3 linked regions of the Notamacropus eugenii genome follow. The protein of the gene in region 2 interacts with the protein of the main gene of each other region in a pairwise test. Links are inferred from orthologs where the notes say so. Each region holds a gene or a part of one and is shown on either strand. Other genes may lie near its edges.

Region 1 (7,819 bases), on a different chromosome or scaffold from region 2:
TTGGGGAGGGGAGAGTTTAGGAGGCTTGAAGAAAGACATAATTTCAAACAGCTTCTGTGGGGAATGAGATAATGAGAATTCTGCACAATTGTCCTGCTGACTGAGGGTAGGACCTTGCACAAATCACCTCTGCTCTGTGGGCTCCAGTTTTCTCATCTCTAAGGGGAGTTAAGTTGACCTCAGTATTTTGGGGTACTGAGGAGCGGTAGGGCTTGGAGCGAATAAGATCTGTGTTCGAATGCCCCCTCTGCCACTTGCTAACTGGGTGACCACAGTCTGAGTTTCAGTTTCCTCATCTGTAAAATGGGGATGATAATAATACTATCTGCCTCACTGCAGGTTAAAGTTTGAATAGGAAATAGTAAGTATAATAAAGCACTTTAAAAACCTTTCTATATTGAACAAGGTTTCCAAGTGCCTTTACTTACTTGTTATATCTCATTTGAGCCCTACAACTCAGTAAAGTGGGTGCAGTTATTACCCCCATTTTATAGAAAAAGACTCTCGGAGAGGTGAGCTGACCACAGCTGACCTCTACTAACAACTAGCAGAGCCAGCAACTGCAGCCGGGTCTTCCTGATTGCAAGTGCAGTGCTCTAGCCACTATACCTTGATCATCATCATCTGAGGGAGCTGGGTAATCATGAACAAGATATTTCACTTTCCTGGGTCTCAGTTTTCTCCTCTGAAAACTGGGGAGATGGGGAGGAGAAGGCATATTCCATTTAATTCAACAACCTGCCCTCTAAGAACTTACATCCTACTAGAGGAAGAAACCTGTACAGAGAGGTAAGTGAATGCAAGCTAATATGGTCTCTTCTTGGGCAGCTAGGTGGCACAGTGAGCCTAGAGTCAGGAAGACTTGAGTTCAAACTTGACCTCAGACATTTACTAGCTGTATGACCCAGGGCAAGTCACATAATACTGTCTGCCTGCCTTAATACTGTTTCCTCACCTGGAAAATGAGCTGGAGAAGGAAATGGCAAACTACTTCACTATCTTTGTCAAGAAAACCCTGAATGGGAGTCTCTTCTGGCTCTAACAATCTATCAACTGACATGTAACAAGTAGCTAGAATTTATATAGTTCTAAATTTTACAAATGTTATCGACTTCAATCCTCACAACTACTTTGGCAGAGAGGTGCTGTTAAGATCTCCATTTTACAGATGAGGGAACTGAGGCAGACAGAGGTTAAATGACTTGCCCAAGGTCACACAGTAAGTATTTGAGGTCACATTCAAATTCAGGTCTTCTTACTCCAGGCCTCATCTCTACTCTGCTACTTACAGAGAAGCTCAACTGAGAGCTTTACAAATTCAATTGAAAGCAGTGTCAGGAATATGCTAAGTATCTGAAGCACCAGGAGGGAGAGAATATTGGAAGTGCTCCCCGAAGTTGGTATGAACTGGAATCACCCCTGGAATCAGCCTTGAGACATAGGGTGGGTTGTCAGAGATTAAACTTGAACTCCCTGGCCCAGCCTCCCAGGCTGGGCTTTGGCCCCTAGGGCTGTCTGCCAGGGCCTTGCACAAAGGCAGCACAACCATTCTGTGCTCTGTCCCACGAAGCCAGCCACCTCCTCCCCCTTGCCCCAGAGCAGACCAAGCAACTGGAAGGACCAGAAACAGATAATCTGGGGATCTCCTTCGAAGAGGGCCCCAAAAAGGGAGAGAGCCTGGACCCAGGCTCAGTAGACCTCTGGGTGCCCAAGTCAGACTTTCAACATGGCCTCTCTCAGAATGTGCCTGGCACAGCACTCTCAAAGTCCAAGAGCTGGGGGATATCAAAGGGCAAGATGATATGATACTCGTCCCCACCAAGCAGGGTTTCCCAGATGGGCCCAGGAAAACTCCTAGAAGGGTCCTGAGAACAGAGAACTAGACCTGACTGCCTAAAAGTCCTGGAAGTAAAGTGTCCCTAGGAGGCTGATCTGCTCCATTAGGACCAGACAGGCTAGTTATTGGTAGTACTGGCCCCACCTCTCAGGTCCTCCTTTACCCGAGCTAAGCTGCTTTAGCCTCAGGCACTATACTGTCCCCTCCCCCATTCTTTCTGGCCTTTGTGTGACTTTAGGCAAGGGTTGGTTTCCCCCTCCATTAACAGAGAGAGCTACACTAGATGGCCCTAGATCATTTCCCAATTCTGTGGTTCCGTGTTCCAAGGTTATTCTACAGTTGTGTGATTTGGGGTCCTGAGCACCAGAATAGGGCTCTTCAAGCTACAACTCCTATAAATACGAGGGAATCTTCCCCTACCTACTTGCCCCCTTGGGAGGGACTGCAATCCAGGGGTGATGCTGGAACTTTTCCAGCTGCCGCTGTGGGATGATAGCAGATCAACCCCCAACCCATGACATTTCAAGCCAGTTAATTAAAGGTGGTGGAGAGAGGACAGAGAATATGAATTACCAAGGGTAGCAAGTACAACAATTTCCATAAAGAGCCCTACCAGGAACTAAGAGGTTCGGGTTCTGGTCTTTTCTGAACAACCTAGGGAATTCCCCTTATCTCACTGGGCATTGGCTTCTTCATCTACAATATGGGGAATGAGATGCAGCTTTTCGATTTCTTAACTCTAAGTTTCTATGGCCAGAGGATCTCTGAGCGCCCAAGGTTTTATCTGGAGGAGGGGGCCCGGAGGTCCTTACCTGTAGCCATGTAGTACTTTCTGACCCCGGTGACTTCCTCCAGCTTGCCCAGGACATCGGTGACAAAGTTTTTCTGCTCCAGGAACCTCTGGAAGCGCTGCTTCAAGCTACCCATGGCTCCTGGGACCGAGGGGGGAGGAGAGGGGACGGAGGATGACTGGACCCGGGTCCAAGGGGCGACCTCCAGGGCTTCCCCGCTGCTCTGCAGCGGTGCTGGTGGTGTCTCCCTCTCCAGGCTCCCAGTACCTCCACTCCTCCGGTCCCCCGGTCCCTCCCCTTCCTTCCCTCCCTCCCACCTCGTGGTCCTGCAACTGCTGGGGACGACCTGAATCCGCCCCCTGACTATAGGATTGGACGGAAAATCGAGGCGGGGCCTCGGTCGGCCCACCCTGCCCACACTGGCCAATGAGAACGCGGAACGGACAAAGGAGGCGGGACTTTTCTCCCAACCCGTTCCTGCCCCTCCTCGCACCGAGTGCCCCGAGCCACCCACCTGTGAGCTAGGCGGGAGAGAAAAGAGGGGGCTGGGCCTGGGAGAGAACTGGGACGCGGAGGAGACAGGTAGGCGAGAGGCTAGGGGAGACCCAGGGGAGACCAGGAAGGCCCAGTTCTTTATTTATGGGCCCCCTCAAGGTCCACAAGTGCCAGGTCTCCTAGGTAAGTTAACGTCCCTCCCACTCCCAGACCCCAGCCAGTCTAGGCTCCTCCCCACCTCTCCTTTCCCTCTCCCTCTCCTTCCTAACTAATCCTTGGGCTTCCAAACTCATTACTCCCACACCTGGAGCCGAAGTACCCCGGTGAACCAGTCTTATGCTTCTCCCCACCCCCCAGCCTCCACCCTGGTCCATTTTACATTCCAAATTTTTCCTCCCTCTTGACATCCCATGAAGAAGTTCCACTTAGTATTCTGCACACAGCAGGAGTTCAATAAATGTTTGGGAACGCAATGTGATGTAGTGGAAAGAACCCTGAATTTGGAAACTAAAGACCTAGTTCATTCAACAAAGATTAAATGCCTCTGTGTATGGCACAGTGCTCAGTTCTGAAGGTCAGGGACACACAAATAAAAAGTATACAATTCCTGCCCACAAGGAGCTTGTGTTCTAAAGTAATAGAAGATACATGTACACTTACCAAGTTGTGTGACCCTGGGCAAGTCACTTAATTTCCTTCAGTCTCAGTTTCTTTGTCTGTAAAATTCGAATACTAATAGAACTAGCTCATAGGGTTGTTGTGAAAAACCAAATGAGATAATATGTTCAAAGCTTCTTGTCAATTTTAAAGCATTCTGTAGTAAATACTTGTTTTTATCTTTATTATAAAAATGATACAAGAAAGGGAGTGGTGCCCTATTTTGTTGGGCAATAAAATTCAGTGGAAAGGTTACCTTGGAAGTTAAATCTAGTACTTCATTGAAGTAGGGCAAAAATTCTGAGAAGCAGAGATGGGGAGGAAATGCATTCCAGTTATGGGGGGTGGGGAATGGAAAGAACTGGAGCCAGTCCAGGGAGATAGTAGCTCTTTGAGTTTGAGAAAACAACAGGACAGTTTACCTGGAATATAGAGCTCCTAAAGAGGAGTGATAGAATGTAAAAATGAATTTGGAAAGGTAGGTTGGAGGCAGATTATGGAGACTGAGAAATTTGTATGTTAGCGTATAGGCAATAGGGAACCACTGAAGGTTTGGGGTTGTTATTTTTAAATTTTATTTATTTATTATTTTAGGCAATGGGGTTAAGTGACTTGCTCAGGGTCACACAGCTAGCAAGTGTCTGAGGCTGCATTTGAACTTAGGTTCTCCTGACTTTCAGGGCCAGTGCTCACTCCACTGAGCCACCTAGTTGCCTCCTGAAGGTTATTTTTAGCAAGGGAGTGATATGGTCAAATTTGGACCCTAGATAGATGGATTATCTTGGCTTTTAGTATAAGATAAATTGGAGAAGGGAGGGTGGACAGGGAGATCAGTTAGGCTAGAAGTGATGAATCAATCAGTCAGAAGAATTTATAACATCTACTACGTGCCAGACACTATGCCAGGGACATAAAGACACAAATGAAAATACATACAAAATATACACATTATAAATCCAAGGTTACGGGCTAGGGGAGGAACCCTAGTTCCATGGTAGGGGGGAGGGTAGAAATACCTCAGATAGGAGGGAGGGCACAGCCAGTACAAACATCAAAACAAAAGATTGTACAAGGAAATTAACAAGCAAATAGGGCAGTTCAGCTGGACCATCCAGTGGTCCGAATTAGGGTAGGAGCCATGATGAAGCTAGAGATGGACAAGATCAATGTATAGGACTTAGGACATGATTAGATGAAATTATTAGAGCAGAAACAGTCAAATTCCAGCTCTGCCTCTTGCTAAAAATCCCACCCTTTACAGGAAGCCTTTCTCCATGGCACTAAATTCTAGTGCTTTCCCTTTGTTGATTATCTCAGATTTATCCTGAATACAGCTTGTTTATACGAAGTTATCTTCGTGGTGTTTCCCCATACAATTAGATTGTAAGTCCTTGGAGAACATTTGACTTTCTTTACAATGCCAGCTCTTAGCACCCAGTATCTGGCACATTTATGGACTAACCGATTGACTAGCAAAGCAGTGTGACTTTGGACAAGTCAGTTCAGTTCCCTTCTCCGTGCCACACTTTGTTCCTCTTTAAAATGGGGATTTCAGTATTTGCAGGGTATACTGTAAAGTACTATAGAAAACTCTAGCAGTTGCTACTGAATGACTGAATCAACTCAAATCAGAGAAAGCCCATAATTAGCCTCAGGCCACCCTCTTTGCCACTAATTAAATGCTCTCTGGAAAGACCTTTTCTGACTTAGAGATCGAATCTAGTGCCAGGGTGGGGAACCTACTTTTATTAAGGGGATTTGTTCGGTGAAGTTTGGATTCAGTTAAAGGGCCACACTTGAAGACGTGGAGGGTCACATGTGGCCTTGAAGCCGCAGTTTCCCCAACCCTGATCTAGTGTAACCTTCTCTTTACACAGAAGACTACTGAGAGTCAAAAGTGGGGCATGACTGGCCCAAGGTTACACAGCGAGACTGATGAAATCAGAAGTCGAACCTGGTTCTCCAGGTTAAGAATGAGGATGGAAGAGGGAACTAGAAGAGAGAAGGTCCTATCCTGTTCCCACTCCCCTGGGGTGTCTCCTTCTCCCGGTAGTCCTCCCCCACTCCCCAAGGCACCGGGGGCCGGTTTCCCAACCCGATCCCCGGCCGTATACAGTTAGGTGGTCGCATGGCCCCCTGGGAATGAAGCCCCCCCCCCCCCGGGGGTGGGGGGAAGGGGTTGCCATGGAGCCGAGAAGAGGCGTCCAGGGATCGGGGGTTGCTTCACTCTGGTTCCCAGGGGTCGGGGCTACTCCATTCTTGCCGGGGGGTGGGGGTGGGAGGAGGGGGCATTTAAACAACGCCCCCCGGGACCCTAGAGACTGTTTGTCCGGTGGAAGGGGCTTCCCCCGGCCCCCGACTACCATGGGGCTGGGCTGGACCCGGCTGAGGTTGGTTCGGACCCTATTTCCGACCTTGGTCCTAGCCCTGGCCTTAACCCGGGTTCTAGTCTCCATCTCCCCAGAGAAGCCCAGACAAGAACTAGTGACCGGCCGGGGTCGCGGCCGGCGTCGAGGGGGCCACTTCTCAGCGGTCCCCATCTATGTTAGCAGTTGGGCTGTGCTGCTGCCTGGAGGCAGCCAGGAGGCCGAGCGCTTGGCCCGAAAGTTCGGCTTTGTCAATTTGGGGCAGGTAGGACACCCGGGCAGCCTCTCTAGGGCTCTGGGTTCTGCCAAGGGCATGGATGCCACCTTCTTCACCCCTCCTGGCCTTCAGGTGGGAGCTTCTCAAGCCTTCTCACTCCACCCCCACCCCCAGGCACAGTCTCCTCCCCATCCCCCAGCATTCAGCCATTGTACTGCCCTCTCCATACGTACTCTGATCCTCCCTGGCTACCCCCTCCCCCCAACACTGGCACAGATTCCTCCCGACACCATTATACTTTCTCATTCTCAGTAAACAAGTTATTAAGCCATTCAGCTCTGTGCTGGGCCCTTGCTTTGCAACAAATGAATTTTTAAAAGGTACTGACTTAGGGGGATAACATGTACTCACTGGGGGGGGAAACCCAATCCCTGACCTCCGATAATTTTGAGAGATAAGATAAAATTGTTCACAAATCAATGGGATACTAGGTAGCCAATTCTGACAGAAAAGCTGCACCTAACCTAGGATGCCTTACCCTGCAGCAGAGTGGAGGGGAGGGAGCCAGGCTGCCTAGCTAGAAACTGGCTTTGACAGAGGGACTGAGAAGGAATACGTGGAGCTGGGTTTTGACCAGGTAGGATTTAAAGTACCTGTGGGACACCCCGGTGGAGTTTGGAGCTCAGGAGAAAAGTTTTGCTAGGAGCTGGCCTCTTTGCCAAGTGAATACTCTTGTTTATACACTTTGCATTCCAGCTGAACGGGACTGCCGACTCTTCTGCCAAATCCATGGGCTGTCTACCATCTTCCTGAGTCTGTCTCCATAAGCTCTAGCCCTTGGCAACTGGGGCCACTTCCATGCCTTCCGTTAGCTACTTTTTTTTTTTGCTTTTATACATTGCCATTTTTTAGATTATTAGATATTTAGATATTAACAATGGAGCTAGAGCTGAAAGGGACTGAGTGTAAAATCAATTTCACAGAGGAGGAAACTGAGGCACAGGTAAGGATGTAGCTTGCCTAATAGTAAACTTCAGAGGCAAGAACTCAAGCTCCAGAGCTAGTAATTGAGAAATCTGGGCCTCCTCCCCCTTGCCCTGGCAGACTTTGTTACTTTAACCCTAGTGATGGTTGAAAATTATTCCTCTACTGAGGCTCCATTGTTAATACTAAGACTTGCAACTTGACTACCTGATAAATTAAAAGATAATATTTAGAGGGAAGGGAATTTTCTGGCACTAAAACATAACATTGTATAAAAGGTAAAAAAAAAAAAAAAAGGTAATGGAAGGAGTAGAAGTGGCCACAGTGCTTTTTTTTTTTTTTTTTGATTAAAGGGATCATCCCTTGAGCAACTGCTTAAAGAAGTCTGTTCATTGAAGGGATGTATCTCACTCAAAGTGAGAATGCTAGCCCTAAAAGGGCTATTGCATCCTGGGCTATCTCCAGTCATCCT
Region 2 (7,446 bases):
ATTAAGTAATCTGATTTCTAGTTGGAGGAAAGAGTAGGCACTTCCTAGTTGGAGGGTGGGGGAGTGGGGCAGAGCAAACAGGTACAATTCCCTGAAATCAGAAAAAGAGGTGTGAGGTGTCCTACTCTCCCCAAGGGTGTGTATACAATAAAGGAACACGGAAACGATAACTGATTGATCAGTTTTCAGATAATACATATGGATTGCTTGAAATGTACAATTGTAAGAAAACTCCTTGCATCAGTCTTTGGTACATCAATCTCTTTCTGATCAGCATAACCAATGTCCTTAATTAGGGGTCTCCAAGCCATAGGTAGAGGCGGTCCGGATTCTCAAACACATGGGGTTAGGTTCAAACAATGCAATAAGGTTTTCTCCCAGTTTCCACAGTTGAATAGTTTTCTCACAGTAGAGAATTTGGATCAGACCCATAACGGAATAGAAAGGGAACTGAGTTAGCTTCAGAACTGAGTCATAAGATGGAGTCAGTGTGGTTCACTCAATTTCTGCAGCTAACCACTTGCTGTCCTGATGCGCCTCGGTTCCCTCATCCTGCTCAGTATGGATCTTGTATCTTCCTATTTTTGACATTAGAATGTAAGATCCTTGAGAGCAGAGACTGGGTTGGAGTTTTTTCCTTTCTTTATAGCCCCAGTGCATCTTAATAAATGCTTGGTGATTGACTGAGTTCCCAGAGATCATGGTTTGCCCATTATTATGGGTTGCTCATATAATGGCTTGCCTGTTATGTTTAACGTAACAACGGTGGTGATAATAGCTAGTGTTTCTAAAGCTGTGGTCTACAAAGCTGTATGTTACCTTATTTGATTCTCATGACAACCCTGTGAGGTAGGTACTCTTATTATCCCTATATCACAGATGAGGAAAGCAAAGTCGAAAGAGGAGATGTGATCCCATTTGGAATTCTCTTGGTGAAGAAATTGAGTGATTTGCCATTTCCTTCTCCAGCTCATTTTACAGATGAGGAAACTGAGGCAGTCAGGGTTAAATGTCTTGCCCAGGGTCACACAACTAGTCTGAGGAAGGATTTGAACTCCCATCTTCTTGATTCCCAGATCTAGTGCTCTCTATCCACTGTGCTGCTTAGCTTTATCAGTGACAAATAAAGAATTAAATATTCTGATTATTACATTTGCAGATGACACAGAACTGGGAGGGATTCAAAGAGATGTTGTCAGATTGGAATATTGGGCTGATTCTAAGAAGACGAAACGTAATAGGAACGAATGTAAAGACTCACACGTGGGCTCACAAAAGTTAACTTCATAGAAGATGAAGGGGGCATGGCTAGACCACTAGTTGACTGTTGGGAGTTTTATCGGGTTGAAAATTCAATAGGAGTCAAGGGTATGATTATGGTAGGCAAGACAGCTCAAAGAGACTCAGGTTTCACTAAAAGAAATAGAGGGTCTGGGACTAGAGAGATGACAGTGCCATTGTACTATGCCCTACTCAGGTCCCATCTAGAGAATCACTACAGCTTGGGTGCCTCCATTTCCTCATCTGTAAAATGAGCTGGAGAAGGAAATGGCAAACCACTCCAGTATCTTTGCCAAGAAAACACCAAATGAGTCATGGAGCATTGGATACAACTGAACAACAAGAAAAGCAGAGGTTCTTAACATGGGGCCATGGAGAGATTTCAGAAGGTCTATGAACATTAATGACATTGTGAGCTCCTTGACGGCAGGGACTGTTTGACTACCATGTATAAGGAAGAATATTGCTAATTTGGAGGGGGCCCAGGAGAGAGCAGCCTTATGACGGGAGGTCTGCAGCCCATGTCATACAAAGGTGTGTTGAGAGAATTGGGAAATGTTTAGCCTGGAAAGTATATAAATGGCTATGAAATGGAAAGGGGATTGTTAGACTGTCTCAGGTCCCACGGGGCATATCCAGGAACAATGGGAGGGATTGCAAAGAGGCAAATTTGGGCTGGCTATTGGGAAAAACTGCTGACCATCCAACCTGAACATCCCAAAGAATGAGAGAGAGAGAGAGAGAGAGAGAGAGAGAGAGAGAGATTGTGTATAATAAACCCAAAGCTCTGGTTTGGGGGCAGAGGTTACAACAATACGTATCTGAGAGTTCAGGCTTTCAAGGGGGAAGTGTGTTTGAATTCTGCAAGGCATAAAGATTTTGTACTCTGAGACTCCAGCAAGGCAAAATGACATCATTATTTCTTTCCTAAGCATTCATTTTAGTAAGGCAAAAGCACTGTGCTTCCATCTATCATCCCTCTCTGTCTCCCAGGTGGAATCCCCAGAAGTCCTAAGAGGAGAATGTGGATGCATATAGCCAGATGAGAAACTGTCTAGAAGGGAAGTGGGAGGATGTATTTTTAGAGTGCACTATTTTATACCTAAGGATGCTGAGGGGCCCTCCCCAGAGGGTACCTCACAGCAGCCTGGGCGTCTGTAGCATCCTGAGAGGGAGCAGAAATGAGCCAGTGATATATCCCTGCCCTTATTTGCAGGGCATGAAAGGAGTAGAGCATGCTGGGAGGATGCCACTTAAAAAGTATCCTGGGAGGCATCCAGACACTGTAGGGAGAACAATTCCCTCCTTCAGATTGAGAGGGATGGATGTGGTGTCCCCAGGAATGGGTACAGGCACAAGGTAGATAGCCATCCTTTCAAAGGGGATGGATTATTATTAACCCACCCGCCAGGAAGCCCTGAAATACATCACTTTGTAGGACCACAATGGAGCCAGTGAGTGGGGCAGACCTATGCTGAAATCCTTTTGTAGAACCTAGAGCTCATTACTCTTCCTGACTGTCTCTTCTCCCTCTGGACTCCAGAGTCTCTGACTGGTATTATTATGGAAAAATAATATTGGTTTCCTTTTACTGATATATTTTATGCATTTGAAGATCTGATTCTGAGAAGGGGTCCCTATGCATCCCCAGATTGCCAAAGGGGTCCAGGACACAAAAAAGTCAAGAATCCCTGATCTAGTCCAGTCTTCTAATTTTATAGATGAGGAAACTGAGACTGAGGGAGATGAAATTTGAAATTTGAACCCAAATTCATTCATCTCCTGAGCTAACGTTCTTTCCACTGTACTTTTCCTCATCTCTAAAATAGTGACTTGAAATTAAGTAACATTTGATGTCCTCTTCAAGAGTTAACATTCTAGGAAATGCTGAAGAGATTCATGCCTATTTAGAATCAAGGCAAAGAATGTGAGAGGATGATTCACAAAGAAGCCAAAGGCAGGAGGATGATGGATTTAGAACTGACAAGGAACCTCAGTGGCCAACCTAGTCCATTTGTGTGACCACCGCACGTGCATACACAAACACACATCTTCATTTTACAGATGAGGAAACTGAAATTAAATGACTTACCAAAGGTCATAAGCTAAAGATAGAGGTGAGATGGACAGTGATACATATTTGTATTTGCATACGTATTTGCAAGGCATCAATAAAAATTATTTTTGAAAAGCAAAAAAATACATTTAAAATTGATACATAAAGATATGCATATCTACATAGTTTATGCATACTTATATTTACAGATTTCTATATTATGTTTAAAATATATATTCTAAATACCTATTTATGCATAATATATAAACAATAATTTGTAATATAAAATTATATATACTACATATACTAATGATTTATAATTTTTACACACACCTACATGGAGAGATTGTCTTGCAGTATCCATCCAAAAATTCAGTGTTTTAAAAATATCCTAGGATTTCCAAACCCTCGTTTATTGAAGCAGTATTCCATGCATCAAAATTCAAGTAGAATTAGAGACTTCCTCAGACTTCAATGGGATTTCCCAACTATCTTTTGAACCAAACTTGGCTCTTTCCCTTTCTCCATTTCCTGGTTCTTGAAGGAATCATAGAAGTGTTAGTAGAAAGAGTACTGTGGGTCAGGAATCAAAGGATCTCGTTTTAAATTCTGTTCTTGCTACACTTTCCCATGTGCCCTTGAGAAAGGCCCATGCCCTCTGTGGGCTTCAGTTTCCTTGTCTGTAAAATGAGGCTGTTGGACTAAAGTCACCTTCCTCAGATACCCTTCTAGCTCCAAACCTGACACTCTTCTGTATATCTGAGGAAGTGTTTCCAGAGAATTGGCCTGTTGGCCACATGGCCACCCAAGCTTCAGGGCAGCCCCCTGCCAGAGGGGTTTAAGATCCCTGGGAGTTCTGAGGCTGAAGTCCCTTCAGCCAGGCTAGAGTGAGGATAAGGCAGCCAGACACAGGTGAACTCCAAGGGTGAACAGTCCTGCATCCTCAGATGTGTTACACATAGGCTGAAAAGAGAGAAGCCAGGTCCCCCTTCCTGCTCCCAGACCAGTCACCAGACCTGCCTGTGCTTGGGTCATTTCCATGGAGACAAGAGAACCTTCGCTCAGAGGCTCTCAGTGGTCTTCTCCTGCTTAGGGCCATGGCTTCAGCCTGCTTTGGACGCCTTATTTCCCTGGGCTCTCACCGATCTGAGATGAGTAAGGGCCCCTTCCCTCTCCTGAAAAGAGGTATGACCAGGTCCTGGGCCCACTCGCTTCCCCAACCCCCCAACCAGGGATGTGATAATTAAATGGCAGTTGGTGCCTCTGAGGTCCCATCCACCTCCATATTCTTCTCCCTCTGGTTCCCATCCAGAGACTCAAGGAAAGCTCTCAGCAGTGGGCAGTGTGGCTTCTCTCCCTTCATGCCCATCCATTTCTACCATGGCGATGACCACTTTTGAGCAGGGAAATGATTTAGGGAACCTAGCCTTGTGCTCATGGGTTTTGTGTGATCCTGGGGTAGTCCCATGACCTCTCTGAACCACAGTCTCCTTATCTGCCAAAGGAGGAAAGTCCTTCCTATCCATCTAGCTCATAGGATGTACAGAGCTTGCTTTGTATGTATGTTTGCTCATTGTCTTCCCCATTAGATTGTAAGACCTCGAGGGCAGGGGCTGTCTTTTGCCTCTTTTTGCATCAGGATATCCATCCCAAATATTCAAACAGACTATCTGTGCCCAGCGTGTGATACAGCATGCCGAGCTCACGTTGGTCTGATCAGCCACAGTCGGACGCACTGAAATTTCACTTTACAATGGTGATGTCATTTTGGTCCTCTTCAAAGATGAAGGACAACAACCATCCCCAATGCTTAGCGCATGGTAGGCACTTAATAAATGTCTGTTGAATTAAGTTAAATTGAACAGGATGGTTGTGAGGAGAAAATTCAATTCAGCAAACGTTGGGCACCTACTGTGTGCTGAATGCCATGCTCACTGCAGGCAGGAGGTTGAAAACTCTCATGGAACTTAGATTCTAATGGAGAACAAAAGGAAAATGGTTTGGTAAGCAACAGGTAAATAAACCTGCAATAGACTTGCAGACTAGTAAAAATAATAGCTAGCATTTATATGCATGTCCCTTTAATCAATCAATAAACCAATAGTAAGAGCCTACTGTGTACCAGGCACTATGCTAAGTACAGGGGGATACAAAGAGACAAAAGATGATCCCTGTCCTCAAGGAACTCAGAATCTGATGGACATTTAAGGTTTCCAAGGTTCTTTACATATGTTCACCTCACTTGATTCTCCTCACAATGCTGGGAGGTAGGTACTTCTATTTCTTATCTCTCTTTTACTGATGAGGAAAACAGCAACTCAACTTCTGCCTCCAAGCTCAGCCCTCTATACACACATCATATATCCAGCTGCCTCAGTGCTTCTGCGTGAGACCTGAGGACATAGATACAATGGTTTTAGAGGCAAGAGCTGGAGAAAACCTTTCTCAATAAAGGCATGCCAGCAATCCAGCCCCTGTGGCTGTTTCCCATAGAAGAGAACCTCTGAGTAGTCATTGTGGTTCATAGCCTGTTGAACTGCTGGCCCCTGGTGGTTAGAACCGTTGGTAGTGTGAGAAACCATCCACCACCCTGGTTTGGGTGCCAGCAGTTTCTCCAGACTTCATCATCCATCAAAGTACCTTGGAGCAGAGGTGCCCACATCATCTGGGGGCACTTCAGGAGCATTCCCATCTTCCTTACTAGGAATTTTATGAGAGTACAGACCACTGCTCTGGGCAGTGAGTACTCAGGGAACATGTCCCTCTCCTTTCTCTACCAATTTGGTTCTCAGAGCTAAGTTTCTGGGGAGGCACCGAGACTGTCCAAATGGCTCACGGCTCTTAAACCCACTTCTCCAAAGGACTGTCTTTGTGTGGGATGACCAAGTGCGAGGGGAGGAGAGAGGAGATCAGAGACCTCCCTTCCTCTCACAGTCCCAGATAACTGGGATGTGAAGGAAGTTGATAACTTCATAAAGCATTTCTAGGAGAGCTGGGCATGTGAAGTCTTAACAGGGAGTCCATCCATCAATTGCCAAGCATTTAAAAATGGCGTGCTAGCTGTTTCTCCCTCATGGGCTAGTCACTTGCTAAAAATTATGGCAACTCTAACCCTCAGTTCATGCTTTGAGGCTTTTGTGGCCCTTGGGACTTGGGTTATTTCACTTAATCACTTCGTTATCATTCTGTTCTCCAGATCAGAGTGGAGTTAGTCAACAAGCCTTTGTCTGTTGGTCAGGCTCAGCGCTAAGTGCCAGATACAAAGAAAGGGAAAACAAAAAGACCATCTTTGTCCTCAAAGACCTTACCTTCTATGAAGAGAATACGTCAAACAAGGTCCATACAACGTGAATATTCTGAGTAGATGGGAAGGGAAACCAGGAGAAACTGGGACTTGAGCTGAGACCAGGAATTTAGGGGATCCTAGGCATTGGGGGTAGTCAGTGCGAAGACACAGGGTGGGAGATGGAGGGATGTGGTAAGTTGTCCGTTGTAGAGTCCATAGAGGGTCAGGTAAGCAGAATCTGCCCACATCAACCAGTTTGAGATAGTGAAGAGGAAGCCAAACTGAATGGCATCCAAAGCTACTGTTTTTGGTGTAGATGAGCAGTCATGCATGGTCCAGACAGAAGGAGAGATCAACATTGGACAGAATCCTTGGGACATCTTTATGTTGAGTGTGCCATCATCAGAGGCAGCCTGATGTAGAGAGAGCTGGTCACAAGGTCCAGTAAACCTGGGTTCTTGTCCTGCCCCAGCACATACTGGGTGCATCCTCCTGGACCAGACAATGGCAGTCTCCCATTGCCCCCCATTGACTCTAAGACTACAAAGTTGGGGAATCATTGCCAGTCTGCCCAAGTGGAGGGAGTTTCCACAAAGGAAGTGCTGTCTGCTGATGGAATTGCAGTCTGTGGGTTTCTGCAGTAATTTTCTTCTGAGAAACTCCAAGTCCTTCAATAAACTATCCTGACGTTCACCCTTATAGGGTCCCCATCAGGTGCCCACCTGCTCAACTGAATGGCCAGAGGTTAAGTCGTTTTTCTAAGGGTGAACAATTATCCTAATACATGGGTGCTAGGTAGCACCATAGTGCAGAGTGCCAAGCC
Region 3 (7,585 bases), on a different chromosome or scaffold from region 2:
CCCCTCTCTCCCCACTTCCACTTCTGCTTTCATTCTCTTACTGTAAGATCTTTGCCTCCTTGGGAGATTTCTCTCTCTCTCCTAAGGAAGAGTTCCCCCTGCACATGTAACCAGGACCCTGAATAAAGCCTAACCCTTGTTCGACTCCGGAAAGTCTCTTCTCTCATACGTTTATCCGGTTTGGCCAGCCGAAGACCTGCAATAGGTAAGGTAAGACTCGGGTAGCCCTCAGGCCTCTAGGCCTGGCATAGTTCCATATCCTGTGACTCACAACATGTATTGAGTGTCTGAATACTAAGGCTCCGAGGTACCACAGGGGCCACAATGCAATACATGCAGGGGTGTGCTGGGGGCAGCTCGTTCTGGCTCTGACAGCTGATTATTATTTTTTCAGCATGAATACTGACACCTTGGAAATCAGAAAATGCTACAAAGCAGGGCTGGATTCACTGTTTTGTGGATTGTTCAGACTTAAGAAAGTGATGAACAAGACGTTAATGGTGAAGGCTAAATGTAAATGTGTGTTCTGAGTATATTTTTTTCAGTCAGTTGTTCAACATTTATCACCATGCACCCCTGTCAATGGACCAATGCTAAGGCTCCTACAATGTTCCGTTATTATTATTTTGTCAATATATACATCAGATTGCCAGAAATTATGTTTCCAATTATTTCCTGAGGTCCAGGACTACTGCTTCCAAAGCATACCGTGTGTCAGCCATAGCCACCTTCATGTACCTGTGGAGTCCTGGGAAACCAGAGAAGACCTCTCCAGATAGACTGCCAGATCTGGAGTCAGGAAGACTCCTCTTCCTAGCTGTGTGGCCCCGGGCAAGTCATTGCACCCTGTTTGCTTCAGTTTCCTCATCTGTAAAATGAGCTGGAGAAGGAAATGGCAAACTACTCTAAAATCTCTGCCAAGAAAACCCCAAAAGGGTCTATGAAAAACAGGAAATGACTGAAGAACACAGGCCTCTCTTGCCTTTACCCATTTATAAGCACGTGTGTGCTTTACAGTTTGAAATCCTATGACTACCACTCTCCCAAGAGAAGGGATGAGGTTCTTTCCAACTGGAGGAGGAGGAGATTTCTAGTCTCTTTCATTCTTTGGGTTCTCTTCAAGCTTTGGGTCTTTTTGACCTTCTCCATCCCCTTGGGCACTTCTAGTTTCTAGCTTTGATGCCAACCCCACTTCAGGATGAAGGAAAAGCCTTGGGAGAAGCCAGCATAAGAAAGGGAAGTCTCCATTGTGGCCCTGTCCCCACCTTGCCCCACTAGAGACTTTGGGGAGTTTTCCCCATGGTGAGATCTAGGACTCTCTCTCCTTTCAGCTGTTACCCCGCTCCAATGGGAGAGTTCCTTCCCTCTGTACTGTTGGGTGTAGATTCTCCCACATAGACATTCTCTGATGTGATTTTCTATCCACTCGGATAGAGATGGGTCTCTTTGCTACTTCCAGTGTGTGTTCATTGTGGACCTGGCATTTGATGGAAAAGGAGTCAAGTCTTGGATACAAACCTTGGGGTCCCACTCTCCCCCGATAATGAGAGAGCCATCAGAAGTTAGACAGCCCCTGACAATCACATTCCCTAGATGACAAGACTGAAGGAGCAGATAGAGAAGTCCAGCCTGGTACCCTCTCTCCGAGGAGAGCAGAGTGGTCAGCCTCTGGCCTTACCCTCTTGCTTCTCCCCTTATCCTCTCTCCACATCCCCACAAGAATGGGGAGGAAAAGCTAGAGATGCCTATTTTTAGAGCCACCACCCAGACACACTCAGGCTACACGTGGAGGACAGCCCTTGCCACCACACCAGGGCCTCTCCACACTACCCTGGAATCAGTTCGACTACCCTACTCCTAAGGACTACAACTCCCGCAATCCCAACGATCCAAGACCTCGTCCATTTCTTGGACCTCAGTACTACAACTCTAACAATGCCCTCTGCCTGAGGGCTACAACCTACCCTACAGCTCCCACAATTCCAACAACCTAAGGCGTGTCCATTTCTTGGGCCTAAGGACTACAGCTCCCACAATGCCCTGCTCCTTCAGACACTGGAACTACAACTGTCATATTATCCTAGATCCACTTCCCCTTAGTCGTGAGGGCTTATGGAAAACTATGACAAAACTTGGTTGCCCAGAGAAGTTTATCAATATAGTACATCAATTTCATGATGGCATGTTTGCTCGGGTTCTGGATAATGGACAAAGCTCTTGTGCCTTCCCGGTCACTAATGGAGTGAAATAGGACTGTGTGCTTGCTCTCATGCTTTTTGGCATGATGTTTTCAGCCATGTTGACAAATGCTTCCAATGAGGATGAACACGGCATCAAGGTCAACTACCATACTGATGGTAAGTTCTTCAATTTGAAAAGGCTACAAGCCAAGACCAAAGTGGAGGGAATGTTGGTGCATGATTTTCTGTTTGCAGATGACTGTGCACTCAGTGCAGCCTCTGAAGCTGAGATGCAACAAAGTATGGATCAATTCTCTGCTGCCTGTGCTCATTTTGGACTAATAATTAACACCAAGAAAACACAGGTGCTCCATCAGCCACCACCACACCATCCATACATGGAACCATCAATTTCAACAAATGGAGAAGTTTTGAATGTTGTAGATAAGTTCACTTACCTTCGTAATGTACTTTCCAGGGATGTACATAATGACAATGAGGTTGAGGCATGCATTACCAGAGCTAGCTCAGTGTTTGGGAGGCTCCAAAGAAAAGCTTGGGAGAGAAGAGTATTAGACTGACTACCAAACTGAAGGTCTACAGAGCTGTTGTGCTGACTGACCTCATTGTTACAATGCTTGTGAAACATGAACAGTCTACCAGCACCATGCCAGGAAACTGAATCGCTTCCACTTGAACTGTCTTAGGAGGATTCTGAGGATCACCTGGCAGGATAAGGTACCAGATACTGGAGTCCTTGCTCGAGCTGAACTGCCAAGTATTCAAACTACGCTTCAGAGAGCACAACTCTAAGGGGCTGGCTACATTGTTCAAATGCAAAATGTACACTTGCCAAAAAGATTACTTTATGAAGAACTCGCATGAGGCAGGCGATCACATGATGGGCAGAAGAAATGATATAAGGACACTCTCAAGGTCTCTCTCAAGAACTTTGGATTTGATTGTGCAACATGGGAGACACTGGCACAGGACCGCTCAACATGGTGTGCCCACTTAAGAAAAAGTGCTGTGTTCTTTAAGCAAAGCAGAATTGAAACAGCACAAAGTAAATGTAGGATGCTCAAATCTGAGACATCCACCCCAAAATTTACACGGACTATCTGTGCCCAACCTGTGGTAGAGCATTTCGAACTCATATTGGTCTGATCAGCCACAGTCAGACATACTGAAATTTCACTTTATCATAGTGATATCATTTTGGTTCTTTTGAAAGATGAAGGGCAACAACCAAAGATCCACTTCCCCAAAGTCACCTTAAGGATCAGAGTGTGTGTGTGTGTGTGTGTGTGTGTGTGTGTGTGTGTTTGTCCTTCGTTGCCAAAGAAAACCATGCCATAATGACATGACTTGCACTTGACTTTGTTTTGAGTGAAGGAGGGTTGTGCAGGTCACCAGCATCACTTCTCCTCCAGAGCCATCTGAATCCAGTGACCAGATATTCATCAGGATGACTGGAGATGACCCAGGATGAGGCAGTTGGGGCTAAGTGACTTGCCCAAGGTCACACAGCTAGTGAGTGTCAAGTGTCTGAGGTGAGATTTGAACTTAGGTCCTCTTGACTCCTGCACTGGTGCTCTATCCACTGCACCACCCTATACCAATCAGATCAAAGAACGTTCCTTTCTTTGCAGGAACTTTGCATCTATGTTGTTTTAGTATCTGGATAAAAGTGCGAAATTCAAAACCAGTCAGAACATTTCAAAATAGTCAAATGTCTGAATCTGGAAAAAAGTAGGCAAATGAATTGAATTCTTGCAGATTTTTTGCCTTGAGTAGCTACAGATGTTACTTAAAGGTTACTTTGCTATGTGTTTAACTAGTTTGGACATTTATGAATAGTTTTACAATTGAATGTGTTACCCTGATCAGTGACAAGTAGTCGGAAATGGAGTCATCCTTCCTTGGCAACATCAATAAATACCTCTGAAGAGGAATCTTTTCTGGACCCAAAGCCTTCAGAAGATTTTTGGCTATCTAAGACCTACAAAAAAGTCCCAAAATATAATAAGATGTCTTCTATTTTCCTCTTTTAATCATTTTTATGAAGGAGGAATCTAGGGATCCAAAGAAGGAATCGAGGCCAATGAGATCTTCAGTACTCAACTTTCCAATTCCTTGTCATTTCAACTAACTTGGTTAGAACCTAATGAATACCTCCTTTACACTCTCTTTTGCAATTCCTAATCACTTGGTAGCTGTACCTAACTTCCCTCACCAGTTCTCACTAACTGAAACTCCCTCTACCTATGTAAGTTGGCACATTCTCTGTAATTTATAGTCCTAGAGAGTTAGGATCAAAGGACCAGAGAGAGCCCCAAAGAACGCCTACCAAGCCCTCCCCCGCTCCGAACTACAACTCCCATGATGCCTTGCTCCCACGCCTCTCCTTCTGGTAGGCCAGAATCCGGCGCAGAAGAGCCCGAGTTCCCTCCACAGCCCTCGGACTACGACTCCCAGCAGCCTCCTGGCCACGACAAACGGTCCCGCAGCCACTTCAGATCCGGAGGCGGCGGCGGCGGCGGCAGCAGCAGGGGGTGAGTTAGAGGGGCCCGGGCCGGGAGGATGCGGAGGGGCGTGCGCCCGGGGGGGTGCCTCCTGGAGGCAGCAACAAGGCTCTCCCTGCTCTCCCCCCACAGCCGTAGGAGCAGCTGGAGAAGATGGCGGCGGGAAGCGACTTTAACCCCGGGACTGAGGAGGAGAGTCCGGGGCTCAGTGCCAAGTGAGCTGGGACCCCAGGACTGTGGGCCCCCATGCCCCGGCACCCAGGGGTCCGGACCCCCGCCCTCCAGGAACCAAGAATTCAGACGCCCAGTGCCGTCCCTCCCCCAACCCTGCATGAGTCCGGACCCCCATCCTTACCCCCTTATCCAGCGGTCCAGACCCCCATCCCATGCTCTGGGACCCAGGAATTCAGATGCCCAGTCTCACACCTCCTTCCTCAACCCTACAAGAGCTCAGCCCACCCCCTGGGACCCAGAAAGTGCTGTCAGCCCCACCCCAAGACATAGGAATTTGGACCCCCATTCTCACCTCCCAGGCACCTCGCTGTCCCAGCACCCAATATCCTAACCTCCCAAAGTCCTCTCTGGGACCCTGGCGTTCAGACCCCCAGTCCGTGCCCCAGTGGTGGCACTGTCCTCTCTAGCCCTACCTCCTTCTCTGGTGTCCAGATCCCTAGCCGTACCCCGTGGTTCCCTGGGGAACCCTAGTGCCTTGACTAGTGTCCGACTCCTATCGGAGACCCAGCTGTCTTGACTCCTCATGCCCAGCTCCTGGCAGCGGGACTCAGGCATCCTGATGTCCCAGTTCTGCCCCCTTCGGGCATCCTTCTTCCTTCATCCCCTCGACGTGCGCCTCGGGACTCGTGTCCTGGTCCCGCACCTCCTGCTGCACTTTGGGACCTTATCCCCTACCGAGCCACTTTCCTTGTCTGCGCTAGGACACTGCTGCCCAAGTTGATGCCGGCGGGCTCAGCCGGCCGGGAGTGGCTGGAGCAGCGCCGGGCCACCATCAGACCCTGGGGCCCTTTCCTGGACCAGCGGCGCTTCTCGAAGCCTCGAAACCTGGGCGAGCTGTGCCAGCGCCTGGTGCGCAACGTCGAGCATTACCAGAGCAATTACGTCTTCGTCTTCCTGGGCCTCATCCTGTACTGCGTGTGAGCCCCGCTCCTCCCCAAGACCAAGCCACCGGGCCGATACTGGTCCCTAAGATACATACTGGGTGTGAGCCCCGCTGCTCCCCAAGACCTAGCCACCACTGGCCCCTAGAATACATACTGGGTGTGAGCCCCGCTCCTCCCCAAGACCTAGCCACCGGGCCGAAACTAGCCCCTAGGATACATACTGGGTGTGAGCCCGGCTCCTCCCCAAGACCTAGCCACTGGCCGAAACTGGCCCCTAGGATACATACTGGGTGTGAGCCCCGCTGCTCCCCAAGACCTAGCCACCACTGGCCCCTAGAATACATACTGGGTGTGAGCCCCGCTCCTCCCCAAGACCTAGCCACCACTGGTCTGTCAGATACGTACTGGGTATAGGCCCGCCCCGTGGCGCAGACTTAAGGAGAAGCCCCTGGCCCCTGTGACACAGAGGTGCAAACCTGCCTTCAGGAAGCAAACTCGGTTGAGACCCCCACCTCCCCCAGGGCGTAAACTTATTGAGAAGTCTGCTCGATTAGCTGGGAGCCCCGCCCCAAGGCGCCTCCTCTGTAAGCTGTAAACTCCGCCCTCTGGTCAGGGTCCCAGCCTGTGACCCTGGCCCTCCACCAGGCCAGTGCTGTCTCCAGGCAGTCTCTGAGTCTCTACCCACTGCCCCCACAGGGTCTCGTCCCCCATGCTCTTGGTGGCCTTGGCTGTCTTCTTCGGAGCCTGTTACATCCTCTACCTTCGCACCTTGCAGTCCAAGCTGGTCCTCTTTGGTGAGGCTTGCCCCCGCATTCCCCAGGGAGAGGGCATTGGATTTTGAACCCCATCTCTTGTCTCTTTATCCAGAACCTGCCCCAGGGCCTTCTTGGATAAAGGAGGCAGTTGGGCCATAAGGCTCAGAAAGCTGGCCTCCCTGATCCATTGTCCCAGGTGTTCCAATAGCCACACCTAAGCATCCAGCTTCCCTCCCACCCAGGGAATGAGGAGAGGCCTGAAAGGGCCCTTAGGGACCTTCTAGGCCAGAACTCATTACTGGCCAACTCTGAACTGCCCCTCTCCCCTCTGGAATCTTCAGGAGAAGAAAACTGAGGTCTTTGTGCCCAGCCTCGTGCCATCTAGGAATGCTAGATGTAGGGTCAGGAAGACCAGAATTCAAATCCTGCTTCAGACACTTATTACCTCTGACCTGTGACCAGGCTTCTGTAAAATGAGGGGTTACCTCACCCCGTGCTCTCTTTGGCTCTACAGTTCTCTTGTTCAATCCTCCTCCCCAGAGTAGGAGCTCCCCTGCGAAGTCCCCCCCCCCCCCAGGCTGGGGAACCTATCCCTCTCATTGACAGATCAGATCTCTGAGGGAGCTCAATGGCCTTGGGGGCTACCTAGAAGGAGATGCCTGTGACCTGGTCCTTGAAGGACAGATTGTTCCCTGGGCTGTCTGGGAAGACTTCTCTGCAGGGGGGATTATTGCTAATGGACCTTGATGAAACTCCCAGAAGAAAAGAGATTCCCCTTGGGGGAGGGGAGTTGGTGAGGAGTTCCTGGAATTTGGCCTTGAAATACAAGGCAGGGAATAAATTTTTAAAAATCCAAGGAAAAGCTTGGAGAAAAGAGTCCCCTAGGGGCCTCTGGATGGCCTGCCACAAGGGAGGTGGGAAGCACTGTAGGAGAAGGGACTTCTGCCTCTCTGGATGTCTTCCACAGAAGGTAAGGATTGTTATGGTAGGAATTCCTCTTTGTGTAT

What was found.
Region 1: the proteins of NDRG4 (region 2) and REEP6 interact in binary tests that used the Homo sapiens proteins (3 or more experiments, as listed by UniProt). The two-hybrid records come from large-scale screens. The link is inferred for Notamacropus eugenii from reciprocal best matches to the Homo sapiens genes NDRG4 and REEP6.
Region 3: the proteins of NDRG4 (region 2) and RABAC1 interact in binary tests that used the Homo sapiens proteins (3 or more experiments, as listed by UniProt). The two-hybrid records come from large-scale screens. The link is inferred for Notamacropus eugenii from reciprocal best matches to the Homo sapiens genes NDRG4 and RABAC1.

Annotation. Positions count from the first base shown.
Region 1 is NC_092875.1:62,873,865-62,881,683, reverse strand, and holds the start of REEP6 (receptor expression-enhancing protein 6), read right to left. Parts: upstream 3,009-7,819; 5' UTR 2,765-3,008; coding exon 2,650-2,764; intron 1-2,649. Other genes in the region: PCSK4 (proprotein convertase subtilisin/kexin type 4), read left to right, coding at 5,923-6,411. UniProt on the Homo sapiens protein: Required for correct function and survival of retinal photoreceptors. Required for retinal development.
Region 2 is NC_092872.1:715,566,074-715,573,519, reverse strand, and holds the start of NDRG4 (protein NDRG4), read left to right. Parts: upstream 1-4,397; 5' UTR 4,398-4,434; coding exon 4,435-4,522; intron 4,523-7,446. UniProt on the Homo sapiens protein: Contributes to the maintenance of intracerebral BDNF levels within the normal range, which is necessary for the preservation of spatial learning and the resistance to neuronal cell death caused by ischemic stress.
Region 3 is NC_092876.1:25,773,658-25,781,242, reverse strand, and holds the start of RABAC1 (prenylated Rab acceptor protein 1), read left to right. Parts: upstream 1-4,577; 5' UTR 4,578-4,735; intron 4,736-4,837; 5' UTR 4,838-4,858; coding exon 4,859-4,920; intron 4,921-5,640; coding exon 5,641-5,856; intron 5,857-6,519; coding exon 6,520-6,617; intron 6,618-7,585. UniProt on the Homo sapiens protein: General Rab protein regulator required for vesicle formation from the Golgi complex. May control vesicle docking and fusion by mediating the action of Rab GTPases to the SNARE complexes.